Saccharomyces cerevisiae S288C: one gene and its partner. The gene in region 2 interacts genetically with the main gene of each other region. Each region holds a gene or a part of one and is shown on either strand. Other genes may lie near its edges.

Evidence for each region.
Region 1: mutations in MRK1 (region 2) and RPL22A together harm fitness more than expected from each alone (negative genetic interaction), as found in Saccharomyces cerevisiae (2 studies listed by BioGRID).

What each region holds. Positions count from the first base shown.
Region 1 is NC_001144.5:261,554-264,511, reverse strand, and holds RPL22A (60S ribosomal protein eL22 RPL22A), read right to left. Parts: upstream 1,319-2,958; coding exon 1,307-1,318; intron 918-1,306; coding exon 564-917; downstream 1-563. Other genes in the region: BMT6 (25S rRNA (uracil2843-N3)-methyltransferase), read right to left, coding at 1-355; FRS1 (phenylalanine--tRNA ligase subunit beta), read right to left, coding at 1,746-2,958.
Region 2 is NC_001136.10:312,414-316,469, reverse strand, and holds MRK1 (putative serine/threonine protein kinase MRK1), read left to right. Parts: upstream 1-1,721; coding exon 1,722-2,133; intron 2,134-2,425; coding exon 2,426-3,519; downstream 3,520-4,056. Other genes in the region: malate dehydrogenase MDH3, read left to right, coding at 82-1,113; branched-chain-2-oxoacid decarboxylase THI3, read left to right, coding at 3,999-4,056.

The sequences.
Region 1 (2,958 bases), on a different chromosome or scaffold from region 2:
TTGCTCTGGACGGTGACCAACGACAACAATATGCTATTCTTTTCGAGTCGTTATTGAAAGCAGCATTGTAATCTCTGTTATAAAGGTCAGATTTTACCGCCTGTATTTGTTCAGTTAACGGTGACTTTTCATTGTCTTGATCTTTTGGATATAGCTCTTCTAAGAATGTTATTTTAAAAAGATCGATTATTTCCTGTGGTGGAAGCGTTGATTTATTGTGAACGGGCAATTGGGCCACTTTTTTAGGATTCATGTTAATTGGAAACTGAGAAGAGTAATGATATTGTGAATAAATTGGTATATATTTAAAATATACTGAAGAAGTTAAAAAGGCAAAGCGTCTCATAAGCAACATCAAAAACGTGCAAAAAGAGACCCTGCGATGAGATGTACTCTAATTCAGAAAGAGAAAAAAAAAAAAAAAAAAAAAAAAAATAAAAATGCACTAAGGGCCCAATGGATTTCTTTTTTTGATATTGAATCATTCATTAAACATATTTATTAGGTTTAGAAGATTTTAATTATACAAAACTTATGCTCTATTTAAAATAATATTAATGAATTTATTCTTCGTCTTCTTCTTCGTCTTCTTCTGGAGTGACTTGGTAGAAGGCCAATCTGTATTCGTTGGTCTTGGTAGAGACAAATCTGATCCAGTCTCTCAATTGGTTCTTCTTCAAGTACTTCTTTGTCAAGTACTTCAAGTACTTACCAGAGAACTTGGCAGTGGAAACAACAGTAACAACGGTACCATCTTCAGTGACAGTGACAGCGTTACCCAAGTTACCGACAGCACCTTCGACCTTGATGTGGTCGATCAAGTACTTAGCGTAGGAAGCTGGGTCGAAGACACCGTTTTCAGTTGGAGAAGAGACATCGACGGTAAAGGTCTTGGCAATCTTTTGCTTTCTGGAAGTCTATATCAAAAAAATTAAAGATTGAAAATTAGTAAAAATTTTCAGAACAGTAATGTTAGTAAAAAACGAATATTTCACGATTTTCTTTCAATCCCGAAACCACAAAGTTGCCTACTGCTATTAACAATCACATATGACAATCTCAAACAAAAAAACATTCAGAAACGGATAAAAAGAAGGGAGTCGATATAGAGTTCAATGTTCAAGTAGTGAATTTTTAAAATACAGAAAAGCAACTAAACACATAGACGCTTCTTCGTTTCGTACATTTTTATTTTTTTTTTTTTGGTTTTACTATCTTCCTTGTTATTCGCGTACAATCAATCATTACAATAACAGTAAAACATAGACTTCGTAATCGGGCGTGGATTCCTTTTAAAGTATCATACGTTTGGGGCCATTGTTTCTTAATCTGTTGTTTTGGTGGTTTATAATTTGATAACGGTAAAGTACAGGTAAAGTTGTTAATCTCAATTAATAATGTACATATTGTATGCAGCTAAATGATAGTTTGAAACATTTTAGGAAATTCTCGGTAAGATTTGTTCGCGTGGCCTGTTGAGGATTTTTTCAAAAGAGAAGCGCACTGAGGTGGAAAGGAAAAACAAATTAACATAAATGTATGGATGTATTATTAAATGTACTGATGTTTATCAAAAAAACTGTCTTTGAAAGTTAAGTACAAGCTAAACATTTACTCAGTAGCGGTAGTAATATTATATAAAACATGGTAAACTTTAGTTGTGTTTCTATATATAGATATATATATGTGTCTATCTATCTATATAAGTTTTATAAATCAGTAAAAATTTTTGTTAGAACATTACATTATAGGAAGACTTCGGCATTAACCTCTACAAAGGATGCAGCGAATGGAACGTCGAAATTCATCATGACTTCAGGATGCAAGACACCCAAGTGGCCGATTTGCTTTGGCTCAGCGCCTTCTTTGGATCTGAACATGACCTTGGCACCTCTACCTGGGAAGTAGGTTTTCACAGAATCGTCTTCTTCAATCCAGTAACCTCTGCCAGAAGCAGCAGCACCGTAGTCTGCAATCCACTCTGTTCTAAAAGTTTGCATGATTTTACCCAATAACCCTTGAATGATTTCAAACCCAGAATTCTTACCCACGTAGATGGCAGCCCAGTGACGTTCATTGTACGCCTTCCTTTCTAGTTTGTCGTCTTTAAATACAACGTCACCGGTTTCAAAGACTTTGATTGGCAAGGAATGTTTTCTGTTTTCCTTGACTGTCTTTAAGATACCAGGCAATAAAGTGGTTCTAACAACTTGGTATTCCAAAGTCTTTGGGTTGGCCAATTTGACAGCTAAATCACCATTGTCGGATTGTCTTAGAAATTTAAAGTTTTCATCGTGCGAACATAAGGTCAATGGTAAAACCTCAACCCACGTGGCTTGAGAGGATGCAACTCTGAAAATATCAGAAACCTTGTTGATTGGTAATGGTTTGGCAATGAAGTTGGCATTGGATAATTTCTCACCCTTTGGCAAATTATTGAAACCATAACCGACAGCGGCATCTTCCATTATATCACAAGCGTGCAAAATATCAGGTCTAGTTACCGGAATGTCAACGTGCAAGATGTCCTTGTCTTCCTTTGATTGAACGGCATGCAACGACATCTTCTTTAGACAATGAGCAATTTCATCAGCGGATTGATCTAGGCCAAGACAGGAGTTGATGTACTTAATGGAGACATCCATAATTCTATCGTTGAAGTTTGGCGCCAAACGGGATTGGCCATTGTGTTCAGAGACAATTTCTACAGGCTCAACCGTGAATGGTTCGTCACAATAACGTGAGAACATTGTAGTTAATATGTTCAAAACGATCTCGGCTTTGGTCTTATCGGTGGCGGTTATATCAATCAAAATGTTACGGGTGTTCACAGAGATCTTCGAATGTTCACTATTGATTAATGGTGGCAGGGAGCAAACACGATCTTTGCTGTCCATAATAACTGGGAAGACTGGAGAATCCTCAATAATGTGAACGTATCTCCCTATGTTGTTTTTC
Region 2 (4,056 bases):
AAAACAATCAAGGCCTTCGTAAATCAAGGGAAAACACTTGTCAGTGCAAAAGAAAATAAAAAGAGACAAACAATCATAAACATGGTCAAAGTCGCAATTCTTGGCGCTTCTGGTGGCGTGGGACAACCGCTATCATTACTGCTAAAATTAAGCCCTTACGTTTCCGAGCTGGCGTTGTACGATATCCGAGCTGCGGAAGGCATTGGTAAGGATTTATCTCACATCAACACCAACTCAAGTTGTGTCGGTTATGATAAGGATAGTATTGAGAACACCTTGTCAAATGCTCAGGTGGTGCTAATACCGGCTGGTGTTCCCAGAAAGCCCGGTTTAACTAGAGATGATTTGTTCAAGATGAACGCCGGTATTGTCAAAAGCCTGGTAACCGCTGTTGGAAAGTTCGCACCAAATGCGAGGATTTTAGTCATTTCAAACCCTGTAAACAGTTTGGTCCCTATTGCTGTGGAAACTTTGAAGAAAATGGGTAAGTTCAAACCTGGAAACGTTATGGGTGTGACGAACCTTGACCTGGTACGTGCAGAAACCTTTTTGGTAGATTATTTGATGCTAAAAAACCCCAAAATTGGACAAGAACAAGACAAAACTACAATGCACAGAAAGGTCACTGTTATTGGGGGTCATTCAGGGGAAACCATTATCCCAATAATCACCGACAAATCGCTGGTATTTCAACTTGATAAGCAGTACGAGCACTTCATTCATAGGGTCCAGTTCGGAGGTGATGAAATTGTCAAAGCTAAACAGGGCGCCGGTTCCGCCACGTTGTCCATGGCGTTCGCGGGGGCCAAGTTTGCTGAAGAAGTTTTGAGGAGCTTCCATAATGAGAAACCAGAAACGGAGTCACTTTCCGCATTCGTTTATTTACCAGGCTTAAAAAACGGTAAGAAAGCGCAGCAATTAGTTGGCGACAACTCTATTGAGTATTTTTCCTTGCCAATTGTTTTGAGAAATGGTAGCGTAGTATCCATCGATACCAGTGTTCTGGAAAAACTGTCTCCGAGAGAGGAACAACTCGTTAATACTGCGGTCAAAGAGCTACGCAAGAATATTGAAAAAGGCAAGAGTTTCATCCTAGACTCTTCCAAGCTATGAGCTACTTCAATTTTTATATTTTTCTTAACTCTATACTCCTTTGTATCTTGACTCATATCGTTGTATAATGTTTCGCTTACTATGATATTTTATACTCAAGTAAATTGAAGGAAAGGAAACCATATCCTCCTAGTGGCTGCGCTGCACTACGCCGCTATGACCAATTCCGCTATGACCAGTTTACCTTTACCACACTCACTCCACGATGTTTTAAGCGTTCCTTGTCAAATATGCACCATCTCGTGATTTTTCAAAGATTGGTAAAGGAACATGAAAAAAAAAAAGCGGGGGGGTGGGGAAAATAGAGTTGATTCTGCAAAAGAGAAAGACAAAGGCCGCCCCTGGGAGCAAAGTCGTCCGATGAGGAACTAACCAGGGGCAGCATTATCCGTTAGGATCTACCGGAGAGCTGTTCCAGCGGCGGATCTGAGAAAGATTGGTTCTCCTTTTGTCGCTATATCTTGCAACTTAAATAAGCATTCTCTAAAAAATACTGGTGCTATAAGAACCCTGCTGCATACAAGTATTTCCGTTTCTACCATACTGCGGGGAAGGGACTTGAAAATAATCTCAAGATTGAAGAGGTGAAAATTGTAAAATAGTCTACTATGACCGATGTGTTGAGAAGCCTAGTGCGAAAGATTTCCTTCAATAACTCAGATAACCTTCAGCTAAAACACAAGACATCTATACAGAGTAATACTGCCCTAGAAAAGAAGAAGAGAAAGCCTGATACAATCAAAAAGGTAAGCGACGTTCAAGTTCACCATACTGTACCTAATTTCAATAACAGTTCAGAGTACATCAACGACATAGAGAATCTTATAATATCTAAACTGATAGACGGGGGAAAGGAGGGTATTGCAGTTGATCACATTGAACACGCCAATATCTCGGACAGTAAAACAGATGGAAAAGTTGCCAATAAGCACGAAAATATTAGTAGCAAGCTTAGTAAAGAGAAGGTTGAGAAAATGATTAATTTTGATTATAGGTATATTAAAACCAAGGAAAGGACTAGTATGTATAATTATTTTTTATTTTTTTTTTTTATGTTCTTGCCAGTGGAGGAATGTTTCTTTCGTCACAACCGGAGTGAATAGTGGAACTACTGTCAGTTCATAGTATCGCGACACAAAAAAAAATAATTAAAAGAAAAAAAAAGAGAGTGTAAAATAAAGATTTATGAAATTGCATCCCTAATCTTAGAAACTTGCTTACGAAATATCAGGAAGCATAGCGGAACATTTTTCCATATTACATCAACTACCATTTTTTATGGGAATCACATTATATACTAACATAGGTTTAGTTCATAAACGGGTTTATAAACATGACCGCAAAACTGATGTCGACCGAAAAAATCATGGAGGAACTATCGACATCAGTTATCCTACGACAGAAGTGGTTGGCCATGGTTCATTTGGTGTTGTAGTCACGACTGTAATAATTGAGACCAATCAAAAAGTTGCCATAAAGAAAGTACTACAAGATAGAAGATATAAAAATAGGGAGCTCGAAACTATGAAGATGTTGTGCCATCCAAATACTGTGGGTCTACAGTACTACTTTTACGAAAAGGACGAAGAAGATGAAGTATACCTCAATCTGGTTTTGGACTACATGCCTCAGTCGTTATACCAAAGGCTTCGTCATTTTGTTAATTTGAAAATGCAGATGCCGCGTGTTGAAATTAAATTCTATGCATACCAACTATTCAAAGCTTTAAACTATTTGCATAACGTTCCTCGAATCTGTCACAGAGATATAAAACCGCAAAACCTACTGGTGGATCCGACAACTTTTTCTTTCAAGATTTGCGATTTTGGCAGTGCCAAATGCTTGAAACCGGATCAGCCTAATGTGTCTTACATCTGTTCAAGGTACTATAGGGCTCCCGAACTCATGTTTGGTGCCACTAATTACTCAAACCAGGTCGACGTGTGGTCAAGCGCTTGTGTCATTGCTGAGTTGCTTTTGGGCAAGCCCTTGTTCTCTGGTGAAAGCGGTATAGATCAGTTGGTGGAAATTATTAAGATAATGGGCATACCCACAAAGGATGAAATTTCAGGAATGAACCCAAATTATGAAGACCATGTTTTCCCCAATATCAAGCCCATTACTTTGGCTGAAATATTCAAAGCCGAAGATCCCGATACTCTTGACTTGTTAACAAAAACTCTGAAGTATCACCCTTGCGAAAGATTGGTACCTCTACAATGTCTATTATCAAGCTATTTTGACGAAACCAAACGTTGTGATACCGACACTTACGTAAAAGCACAAAACCTGCGTATATTTGACTTCGACGTGGAAACTGAGTTGGGCCATGTTCCACTTGTGGAACGGCCCGCCATTGAAGAACGGTTGAAACATTTTGTTTCTGCACCTTCATCGTCTTTGTGATATATCTCATCCTTCAAATTTCTTAGTCTATTGTATCATTACTATTACATAATATGCATTTGTCTTCTGCACACAGATACACAGCGTATGCAGTTAACCTAACGTATAACGACCGTCCTCTTTCCTTCATTTAATTTCACTTGCTGCTTTTCTAGGCAGCGGTCGCCCAAATTTTCACCGGCCACAAGCGTATGACTGCATATGCAGAACCTTGGCAACTGTAAGAACTCCTATGTTTCTTTATTGCAAACAGTTGCTAAAAGCACTCACATAGAAGAAAAATTGATGAAACTTGCGATGCATTGAACAAATTTCCCTTTCTTCATACTTTACGGCATAGTAATCTTTGAACCTTTTGGTAAGCACCAAATTCGTAATTCATTATCGATATTGTGTAGAAAAGAGTAAAATATAATAAAACGAAAAAAAAAAGGTTTGAAAGAACATAACTACTAAAACGCACCGTCGTCATTCTGAAGATGAATTCTAGCTATACACAGAGATATGCACTGCCGAAGTGTATAGCAATATCAGATT